Cricetulus griseus: one gene and its partners. The protein of the gene in region 3 purifies or fractionates together with the protein of the main gene of each other region. This does not show direct contact. Links are inferred from orthologs where the notes say so. Each region holds a gene or a part of one and is shown on either strand. Other genes may lie near its edges.

Region 1 (3,746 bases), on a different chromosome or scaffold from region 3:
GTTCAAGGTCTTCCTGGTCTAGTCTACCAGAAACTTGTGGGGGGGGGGGAGCGGGCCTAGACAGCTTCTGTTTGGCATTAAATGAGCAGTAATCCCATCAGATCTGGTTTTGGGAACAGCCATTCTGGTCAGAGCCTGTATCAGTAGGGCAGTGGTTATAAGGATCCTGAGATATGAACAAGACAAAGAATACTCAGGAGGCTGTAGTGATGAAGTAGGGAGGAGGGGAGGATGAAGCAGGGGTCAGGGGAAAACAGCCTGGGTTTTGACTTGGATGTCCAAGGATATCATCCACTGATAACCCCCCCCCATCTGATTTGTATTGATCCAAAGCAGTGAAGAAGAGCAAAGGAAGTAGGGGTACTTGTTTTGCTGGTCTGTGAACTGGAACAAGAATCAGTTTCTAAGTGTCCAGAGCTGGGTTTGAAGAGCCCAGGCACGTTTGGAAATCAGAAAGGTGCTCTTAAAGATTTTATTTATTTATTATATATACAACATTCTGCTTCCATGTATGTCTGCACACCAGAAGAGGGCACCAGATCTCATAACGGATGGTTGTAAGCCACCAGTGGTCGCTGGGAATTGAACTCAGGACCTCTGGAAGAGCAGTCGGTGCTCTTAACCTCTGAGCCATTTCTCCAGCCCCTAATTTTTTTTTTTTTCATTTGTTTGCTTGAGATATGGTCTCACTATTTAGCACTGCCTGGATTTGACCTTACAGAAAGACACCTGCCTCTGCTTCTCAAGTAATGGAAGGACAGAATAGGCAGTAGTTGGTTACGATAGAAGGAGGCACTTAGAAGGCCACCAGGCCTGAGGATCTGAGTTCCATCCCTAGGCACCCAAGTGGTTAAAAAAAAAGAGAGCACTGATTGTCAAATTGTCTGTCCTCAGACCTCCATATGTGCATAAGTAAGTAAATAAAAAATAATGGAATAAAAAAAAAGTTCAGCCCTCATCGGAGTGTGGTTTGGTAGCTCACACAATTTAATCCATCTCAGCACTTGGGAGGCAGAGGCAGGCAGAGCTCTGTGAGTTAGTGGCCAGCCCGGTCTACGTGGTGAGTTACAGGACACCAAGGACTACATGGCAATCAATACCCTGTCTAAAAATAAGGAAAACAACAGCAAAATGTTCATAGTATTGTCACCCGAGGTCTGGGGTCCGAGGTGTTTATGTTAGTGTGATCCTGAGAAAATGTTCTGAAATCTGAGTCTGGGATCTTGGTCGGTGTCAGGATTCTTATTATCGTCCACGGTCTGGGGTCCACGCCCTGCTGGGAGCATGGAGTCTAGCCTCCTGAGGAGATGCGATCCCAGTTTGTGGCCATCCCCTAGGGTCGTCCCGGAGTCCTGGGTGCAGGACTCAGGTAACAGCCCAGGACTGCGATCCGCGTCCCTGTCCCGGACCCGAGCAGCGCGGCCTCTAGGGGGCGCTGCCGCCCGCCTGCCCGCCGCCCGCCCGGCTCGGCCCCTCGGCGGCTCGCTGGCGCTGTGCGCGGCAGCGGGGCCGGAGGCGGCGGCGGCGGCGGCGGCAGCTCCGGGCGCGGGCGGGCGGAGGGAGGGCGGGTGGTGGTGGTGGTGGCGGCGGCGGCCCCCGACTGCAGTCCCGGCGGGAGCGGAGCGCGAGCCGGGCCGGGCCCGAGCCGGCGCCATGGGGCGGCGGCGCCTGTGAGCAGGCGACGAGCGGGGACCGGACGGGGCGGCGGCGGCGCCGAGGCCGACAAGCCGCGCGGGCCGAGCCGGGCCGAGCGAGCGGGAGCGGAGCGGAGCCTCGGGCGGCGGGAGGAACAGCGCCGCCGCCGCCAAGATGGCCGACCTGGAGGCGGTGCTGGCCGATGTGAGCTACCTGATGGCCATGGAGAAGAGCAAGGCCACGCCGGCCGCGCGCGCCAGCAAGAAGATCCTGCTTCCAGAGCCCAGGTGAGGAGCCCGCCTCTGCCGGGCCCCACGCGCCGACCCGGGTACCATGCCCCCGGGGACCCCTCTCTCCCCGCCGCCCCAGGCCCCGGGGACTCCCCCTGCTCCGGTGACCCTCTGCCCCAAAGACCCCACTATCCGGGCCGCCCCAGGACCCGGGGACCCCCATACTCCCGGATCTTCTGCTCCGGAGACCCCACTATCCGGGCCGCCCCAGGACCCGGGGACTTCCTCTCTCCCTGCCACCGCAAGGCCCGGTGCCTGCGAGCCCGGAGCGCCCCAACTCCAAGCTCCCATCGCGCTCTCCCGGCCGCGCTACCGCTTCCTGTATCTCACTGCTGGGCCTGGTCGCTGTCAGCCCCTAGCTCTGCTGCAGCTGTCTTCCCACCCTGGGTGCTGGACTCTGCCCTCCACCCTTTGTGTCCCCTTGGGGTTCCTTTCCCCAGGTCTGCCTCTGTTTACCCAGTCTGTTGCTCCTGCTCCCAGCACCCCCCTCTTTGGCGTTCCACTGTCCTATCCACTCCCCTCAGAGTGGGTAACACTCTTGTTCGGTTTGTGGAGTAGGGAGGACCAGTCTGGAGACTTTTTTTTTTTTTTTTTTTTTTTTTTGCCTTCTCATCTGGTAGTGTCACTGCCCCTGGCTTGGATTTGAGAGTACTTTGGGGGGACAGTGCTGTGTGATGTGTCTACCATCCCTCGGGGCTGTGCTCAGGTGAGGGTAGTCCCTTCTCCGTTTTCTCCCCATGTGGTGCCTTGTAGGTACTTTTGACGAGGGGACAGCCCATCCTACAGTAGCTGGACCGTGCTGCCACCTTTCTGCAAGACAACTGATGTCATTGCACCTGGTATCAAAGTTTAAACTGTTCAGGATGTGGGTGCAGAATCGGGCAGGATGTGAGAAGTGTAGCTGGGGTTTGTCCAGTATATTGTGGCAAATAGACTTACCTTCCCATTTGAACTCACAGGAGACCAGAGAGTGAGTGAGACAGGTGTAGTTTTGTGCCCATAGAACAAGGTTTGTGTGTGTGTGTGTGGCGGGGGTACAGCTCCCCCTTGAATGGCTTGTTCAGTGTCACCCAACCTCCACATCAGGGCTTCTAGTTGTATCTTTTGTTCACTGTCTTGACCTGAAGGATGGCCTGGATGTCCTGCGTCTGGAAAAGCAGATGTGTCTTCTACACATCAGGATGCCTTATGGTGGATGGGTGGTGAGGTCAGTCCCAGAAGTTTTTCATGACAGTCCCTTTAGCAGCCAAGAATTGTTCCTGACTTTACCACCATACTCTTATCACAAGACATGGGGCAAGTTCTTTTCCTTTTAGACCTTGATTTTTACCTCTGTGAAATGTGGGCAGTATGAAATAGGCCTCTGGTGGCCCCAGTTGTTGGAGCAGGGTTGGCAGCTTACAGGGATGCTGTTGTACACTTACCATGCCCCTCCTCCAGTGGCTGCTTACTGGGTTTCGGGTTGACTGAGAATCAGGCCCGTAGAGGAAAAATTGGTCTGCGTTTCGAAGAGGCCGTTGCCCCCCCCTTTTTTTCTAAGACATTTGCAATCAGATTTCTCAAAACAGGAACTAGACGAGTGTCAGCCAGGGCTGTCTAGGGGCAGCGGCAGTTAGGACGAAATGAGTTCAGAAATGACAAAACTTCAAGGGAAGAGAAGGGGGAGGCTTGCAGTTAGCATCTAGGGCACTGTCTATCTCTTCTGGGCAGCCACAGCCATGAGAGTCTTGTGCAGGTGTGAGGTCTGCAAAGTTTGAGGTGGTGCCTTTTTCTAGAACTCTCCATATTTGGATAATCTTTCCCCAGAATGCATTTCTCCTA
Region 2 (3,746 bases), on a different chromosome or scaffold from region 3:
AATTCTAAAAGAAAAAGAAAAGAAAGCCTAACCAAGAGGGAGAGGATGCAGGGGAGAAAAGAAAAAACAGAAAACAAAAACAACTGGTTATAGAGGGGAAGAGACAAGAAGTGGAAAGCATGAATACAAGGAAAGGAAGGAAGAAAAATGGTGAGGTAGGAGAACAGGTGAGGGGGCAGGCAAGGAAAAAATGACCAGGAGGAGGAGGAAGGAAAGGAAGGCTTGTCAGAAGAAATACACAGCTTTTTTGAAACTGAGATTAGAAAGCAAGCCCAAAATAATCAAGGTACATTAATATTTGTATTTCTTGGTGCCAAATAATAAAGGAAGGAATTACAGTGATTAAGGCATTATACAATCTCAAGGTCTGCAATTTACTTAGTAGATCAATAACAGTGCTCCTCAGAAGACAGCCTAGTTTATAGCAGTGGCCTAAGTATCAAAGAATTGGCCAGTTCAGGGAAAAATATTAACATACTTTCACCTGTTTCTTCTCAACCCCCACTGCCCTACAGCAACATACCTACACTGGCCCCTAAGAGAGAATCAGCATTTTCAACCTGTCTTGCCCTGAAGTCACTGGTTCTAATCAGACCAGCAAAATACACACAGAAGGCTGGCTCCTCTAGTCTGTATCTAGCTCACCTTTCCAAGGTAACCTGACAGCCTAGGAAACCCAGTTACAAACATTGTATACCCTTCTCTACAAATAAGGAAACTGAGGCTCACAGAGGCTGCCTAAACAGGAACAGCACCAGGGGTCTCCTTCTTCACTGCATCTCCTACCAGGGAGCAGTACCTTTGATCCTAGTAAACCTTCAGCTAAACCAAGGCACAGAAAGGCATCACCCAGGCCACTAAGCAGAAGCATGCTTACAAAGGAGGGCAGGGGGGGGGGCCTCATAGTTCCCCAAAAATCCAGCTTCCCCTTCTAACCTTTTCTAGCCAGATCTCTAATTCCAGCAAAGGCCTAGCCCTGAGTGGGCTTATTTCAAGGTTCCACCCTGAGGCCCTTCCCTCATTAAGAGTCCCTTAAGGTAAGTGGAATGTAATGCTCTTCCATTCTACCCCACAAAGCAGCAAGACTCCCCCTCGTCCTACCCTAGCTCAGCCTAGCTGTGCCAGGCCCAGGAAAGGCCGGCATTACCTGGCAGGGAGTGCGGGGCCCAGCATCTCTGATGATCTTGTGTATCTGTCGCAGCGCCGCACCTCTCCCTGCTCAGCAGTTGCGACAAAGCCAGGGCTGAACCAGCCTGACAGGCTGGATTCGGCTGGGTACAGCAGAACAGCCACACAGCTCCAGAGGAGCAGCACACTCTGGCCCTCTCAGGGCGGCAGCAAAGACAGAGTGGTTCAGTGAAGGGGCGGGGAGGGAGGGAGGAACAGAGAAAGGGAGGGGAAGGGGGCGGGGAGCGCTCTCCCCGCCCTCTCCTTTCTGAAGAGGCGCTGAGGGGCGGGAAGCAGCTACATCCCCACCATTCTGGTTGTCTCTGCTGTTCTACCAACTCAGGCTCCAACAAGAGGTGCTAGGCAGGCTGTCTAGAGCTACCAAAGTCCCCTTGAGCCCCAGGATCAAGAAGAAAACCGGAGATCCTCTGTGCCTTAGTTCTGCAGCCTGGTATTGAGGAGTCTTTCCTAGACCTCCTCAAATCAGATTGAAGGTTCTTTCACACTAGGATGGAGAGGGGGAGATCTCTTAATATTGACTCTCAAAAAGTTTCCCTTATACCATCCTCTCCTTTGAACAAAGCTCAGCAATAGCTACCATTTGTTAAGAGCTATTTATTGTATGTGTCCCAGTACTTTACAAGCCTTATGGAGTAAGCACTACATCAATTCACAGGTGTCAGAATTGAGGTCCTAGAAGAATATGATCTCCGAATTTCTTAAGGACCTGCTAGATACTAGTCACTATGACAGAACTAGACCTGGACAACATATTAAAGAACCAACTCTGGACTGTCCCCTCCCAATAAAAGGTACCCCTAAAGGACTACAATGATTTAAAAAAAAAAAAAAAAGTACCTTCACATATTTCCAAGTGCTCCACAGGAGACAGTATCTCTCACCACTGGCTCCACTCATCCAACTCATCCCTTGCCTTTGAGGTTTATGACTGGAGTCAAGTTATGCAGATTATCTCTTCCAGGTCACAATTAATGAGTTTGGATGTTTTAAATTATTTACATCTCTTGTAATAAGATTGGAGGATAACTCATGGGAATCAGTTTTCTCCTCTACCATATGGGTCCCAGGGATCAATCTTGGGTTGTCAGGCTTGGTGGCAAGTGCCTTTACTCACTGAGCCATCTCACCTGCTCATAACTTTAGATTTTGCTCCAAGTTTCAGCAATGGAAGTGCTCTGAAAAAACAAAATGACAAAAGCTGACATTTTTAAAAGACCCCTGGTCAGTGGGAGAGAGTGAGGGCAAGAGCACATTAACAGAATCTCTTAGAGCTATAGGCAACAGAAAGAAGAAGATAGTACTAATTTATTATAATATCTAAGATGAAAAGAAGTAACACATTCTGAAGATACTGCTTGAAAGTAACACAGCAGACCAGGTATAAGACAGGAAGCAATGGATAAGAAAATACGGTGACTTCCCCAGCATCACACATCCAGTAAACAACACAATCATCTATATACCACGGTCTGGTTCCTAAGCCTGTTTCTTTTTAGTCCTCTCATTTATCTGTTTTGTTTATAACAGATCATTGTTGGTCATCTTCATACTAACTCCAGTAGCCCAGTCTTTACTGACTAGCATAGAGTATCCACTAGACCAGCATGAAACCCAACTCACTAAATATTCAGCCATCTTCCCTGACAAATGTTTGCACTTCCATTCAGTGTGCCCAAATTCATCTAATTGCAGAGAAAGAACTGTAAACAGAAAAAATTCAGCTCTTCCATTATTCACCCTTTCCAAATCTTGAGTATGTGCAGTATTTGAGGAGATAGGAATTTCTACATTAAAAAAAAAAAAAAAATGGGGCTGGGCAGTGGTGGTGCATACCTCTAATCCCAGCACTCAGGAGACAAAGACAGGCAGATCTCTGTAAGTTCGAGGCCAGACTGATCTACAGAGTGATTCCAGAACAGGCTCCAAAGCTACAAAGAAATCCTGTCTCAAAAACCTAAAATAAAATAAACAATTGGGACCAGTAAAGTGGATCAGTGGGTAAAGGCACTTGCTGCCAAGACTGATGACCTGCGTGTTCTGATGGAAGCTTCACCCCAGTCCCTGGCATCCATATACCCAAAGGATCTGGAATGTTTTGGTGGAAAACCCCCTCCCCCACCTCTCCAAACTGCCCCATCTCAGAAAACCCATCAAATGATGACCCCTCCCCCAGAGATGTTCAAGACCACTCCCACAGGGTATTTACACTGTACACCAGAAAACATTGTTTCCCGGTCTCTCTTTTCTGTCTCCTCCCTGGGGGACTGGAAAACCAACCAGGAGAATTGTATCCATTAAATCTGGGCTTTTTCTAGTTTGGTTTGATTTGGTCTAATCTGGATTGCTATACTGGTGGAGAGGCTTATCAGGGTGCAGAAACTTTTCACAGAGTTCAATCCTTGGGACACAGGTTAAACACAAGTATCTCTTTCCCATGTTTTCCTCTGATCTCCACATGTATATCATGACATATGATACACTACATACACAAATAAATAAATGCAATAAAACTTTTTAGGTACTGTAGAAATGGTTCAGTAGTGTTGAGCACTTGTTGC
Region 3 (3,646 bases):
GTAAACTGAGTAAGTGGCTGGGGATAGCCTCCACTGCCTGGGTTATCTTGGGGCCTCTGAGATCAGAGGCAGAAATTCCCCATTACTACCCTGCCTGGGATTCCCATCCAGTTGGGAGCACACTGGGGGCCTGGCTAGTAGTCCCAAAGTCAGCCAGTTCCCCGGAGCTATCTTCTCCCTGCAGAGGGAATCCTTTATCCAAAGTGACACAGAAGTCCAAACGCAGTGGTCCAACCTAGTCAGGCCTTCTTTCCTTGTACCAACCCCCGCCCTCCAATACTTAGTAACCACAAGGCTCAGGTGCACTGGTGTGTGTTGAACCGACATTTCTCACCTGCCTTGGGGGTATACAGTAGGTGGCAACTAGGCTATGAATTTCTGTGTTGCTAGTCACTATGTGTATAGGGTGGGGTGCCAAGCCACTGAAGCCTGGGAAGATGTAGGGCTCTGGGTCAAGCCACCTTGACATCTAATAGCTGAAAGGGGCATCAGGTGGGCACTCACCTGTCAGCCATCTGTGGGATGATGTAATGCCCATTCTTGTGATCTGAACAAAAATAAAAATGCCAAGTCACTGATGCCAGGTGGCGCCAGCACCCAGGAGCTTACCTCACTACCATGAGCAGGGTTTGACACCTGGAAGTGTCAGAGGAAATGGAGGAGGGCAGGATACCCCAAGAGCATTGAAAACTGGCTGCAAGTCAGGCCCACCCCCACTCCTTGGCCCCAACATGCTTGCAGCAACCCAGAGCCTGCAGCAATTTCACAGGAGCCAGTTGCCTAGCAACACAGTTCCCCAGCTGGCTTTGTCACTATGGCACCTGCTCCTGGGTGTGCCTAGGTCCCACCTGCCTGGCCTAGTCAGGCCCAACTCATTCTCTGCTCACCGGGCTTGCGTCCACAGAGGTAGAAGGCCAACCGGTCAGTGAGCTCATACTGGCACTCAACTAGCCTTTCTGCCAGTTCATGGTGCCCCGCCTGCCTGTGGGGAGGGACATGGCTCAGCCCTACAGCAACAGTCCATTCCTCTCCACCTAAGCCTCACCCTTTAACTGATTCTCACCTGGCATAGTCGATTGGCGTGCGGCCATTGACATCAGGGGAGCCGGGGTCAGCCCCATACACCACCAGCAGTTCAGCCTGCAGTGTCTGCCCCGCCTTGGCAGCCACATGTAGAGGTGTAGTGCCCTTTTCTGGGTGAAAGAAGTTGGCCTGGGCACCCAGGGAAAGCAGGCGAAGACATGTCTCCAAGTTGCCTGTTCGCACACTGGAGTGCAGTTGCTGCAAGGAGCAGTGTGTGGTTAAGTGGGAGTGAGTGTGATGGATACTTGTGAGTGTCCGAGGAACCTCCCCCACACACCTGGCTGTTCCTGGTACTCCTACCAGCTCCAAGGGGCCTCGACAAAACTGGGCCATGTCAGGCAGGCTAGAGGGTAATGTCATTAACAGTTACTCCCAGTCACTACCCTTCATGTGCTCTGCTTGGAACACACAGAAACTAGAGGCAGGTGTGTTACTACTATCCCATTTCACTGATGAGGAAATAAAGGCTCCGAACAGCTAAGCGAGTACCCCAAGTTTTCCTAGCTTCAAGTCGTAGACGGGAGGCCCTATGTCTGTCCACGTGAGAGTGGAGGTATCTTAGCCACCAGCTGCATGACAGAGCAAACTTCCCTAGCCCCAGGGTGTCTGCACCTACTTTTTTCCCCAGCCCTGGGTTGCCTCTGGGACTTGAATATGGAAAGAGGGGTGGCCCACCCATCTGTTGAGGGGCTCCTCACACCTTGCTGAGGTCTTTGGCAGTGACGCCATCATCATCGCGGCAGGGAAGCTTGTGCACAAACGCCAGCATTTGGTACTTGGCCCTGATGAACTCTGATTTGATGGGGCTGCATGGAACACACAGGAGGCCATGGGAGCGGAGCTTAGGACAACCACCATTCAGGCCCCTGTCCCAGAAACACGGCCCTGCCCACCACCCCTGCAGCCCCACTCACTGGACTTTGTCTTGGGGGTTGGCTTTACGCCGGCCACTTTGCACTTGTGCAGGGTCCAGCAGGGAGTGCTCCCAGATGGAGTTGGCCCCGTTGCTGGCAAGCGTGTGCACCATCTGTGGGGAAGAGATGCCAAGCAAAAGAGTGCCCACTCTGTGCTGGGCACTAGGGGAGACATTCCCAGAGTGCCTGCTGCAGCTGGAGATACCACCAAAGGTCCTACTGTGTGCCTGCTATGGCTGCCCTCTATCCAGTCAGGCCACCCAAAGTCATGTGTCCTGTGTTTAGCACTTCATGCTGGCTTACCCTGGTGGGTTTGCCAAGGTTCAGAGAGTTTCAGCAACTTGCTCAATGCACTGTCTAAGATAAGCATCCAAGCTAATGAATAGACACTACAGGGGAAGGGGTGAGTGGAAAGGTTGAGGGTCATACTACTTTAAGTGGCTACTGTCTGACAGGAAGAGGGTTGGGGATACCTGGGCACTGCACACTGGGAAGGAGTCTCTGGTTTAATCCCCTACCTGTAGCAGTGTAGGAGGCCAGGCGCTGTGGCGAAGGTGCTTGACAATGGAGATGTGTCGTCCCAGGCTCCGATGCACACTGCAGCACTCGTCACAGACCAGCACACCTCTGCTGATAGATGCCCAGCCAGGATCTGGGGGAGCAGAGTAGGAAAGTCAGCTGAAGCCACAGGACAGGCACTACTTCCTAAGCAGCTGCTCTGGCCTGGCATATGCTTAGTGCTTCAGGTACATTCACTCAATCTGCTCAGGAGCCCAGAAGCTGGCTACGAGCCCTTTCCTGTAAGTCCTTGCACCTTCCTGGGTATGCATGGTCCCCAAGGATTCTCAGTGGGTACAGTGTCCTGTCTCACAGCCACTGCTACCAGTTTCACAGCCTCTCCTCAGGAATCAAGACTGCTGCCTAGCCATTCCACAGGGAGGCAGAAGTCTCCTATGGGATATGACCCTGACGCCGTGTATCACACAGTCCTGGGTATGTTCCTGTTGGACCCCATCCGACAGACTGGTTCCTACCCCTACTCTGACACAGTTGGAGTTTCCAGCTTCATGCCACCATCAACTGTGGGCTGCAGCCTTAAGGACAGACTGAGCAATGGAACTAACCTTGGCTGAGGTTTCACTATTTACTGGCCAAGTATTTTGCTCACAATTCCTTTCACAAGTGCTATCTTGCTCTACTGATGAGGATTCAGTGGCTCAGAGAGGTCAAAGGGCTTGCTCAAGGTCACACAGCTAATAAGCACAGCTGCTGGGATGCTGGAGGCAGGTACTTCAATGCCAGACCAGGCCAAGCCTAAACTTGCTGCCCTCTGCCCCTGCAGTCTCAGGACCAGCCTGGGAAGCCATTCTCCAGTGAGGACAAGTGGGTAGGAGCTCCTGGTCCTCAAGGGTAGTAGAGATGCTACCACCCCAAGCCCCTCTGGAGAAGGGGAGGAGAAAGCACACACAGCTCAGGCCACAGAAAGGAAAGGTCATGGGGGAGAAAGCGGCCATTGTGTGCTGTCCAGAGTGGGGGCAGGGAGCTGCTCTCCCAGGACACTCTGCTCTGCCCAGGCCCCCACCCAGGCCCAGGAAGCCTTGTTCTGGGGGTGGGGCTGGCTCTCTGCCTTCCTTATTACAATTCAGGAT

The links.
Region 1: the proteins of Git1 (region 3) and Grk2 purify together in Homo sapiens (affinity purification with western blotting; 4 studies listed by BioGRID and IntAct, with this or other methods). This does not show direct contact. The link is inferred for Cricetulus griseus from reciprocal best matches to the Homo sapiens genes GIT1 and GRK2.
Region 2: the proteins of Git1 (region 3) and Pak1 purify together in Homo sapiens (affinity purification with mass spectrometry; 6 studies listed by BioGRID and IntAct, with this or other methods). This does not show direct contact. The link is inferred for Cricetulus griseus from reciprocal best matches to the Homo sapiens genes GIT1 and PAK1.

The regions. Positions count from the first base shown.
Region 1 is NC_048596.1:54,951,521-54,955,266, forward strand, and holds the start of Grk2 (beta-adrenergic receptor kinase 1), read left to right. Parts: upstream 1-1,608; 5' UTR 1,609-1,809; coding exon 1,810-1,922; intron 1,923-3,746. UniProt on the Homo sapiens protein: Specifically phosphorylates the agonist-occupied form of the beta-adrenergic and closely related receptors, probably inducing a desensitization of them. Key regulator of LPAR1 signaling.
Region 2 is NC_048596.1:101,664,534-101,668,279, forward strand, and holds the start of Pak1 (serine/threonine-protein kinase PAK 1), read right to left. Parts: upstream 2,265-3,746; 5' UTR 2,095-2,264; coding exon 2,026-2,094; intron 1-2,025. UniProt on the Homo sapiens protein: Protein kinase involved in intracellular signaling pathways downstream of integrins and receptor-type kinases that plays an important role in cytoskeleton dynamics, in cell adhesion, migration, proliferation, apoptosis, mitosis, and in vesicle-mediated transport processes.
Region 3 is NC_048600.1:90,901,502-90,905,147, reverse strand, and holds part of Git1 (ARF GTPase-activating protein GIT1), read right to left. Parts: intron 2,650-3,646; coding exon 2,516-2,649; intron 2,111-2,515; coding exon 1,998-2,110; intron 1,890-1,997; coding exon 1,784-1,889; intron 1,282-1,783; coding exon 1,064-1,281; intron 983-1,063; coding exon 888-982; intron 548-887; coding exon 505-547; intron 1-504. UniProt on the Homo sapiens protein: GTPase-activating protein for ADP ribosylation factor family members, including ARF1.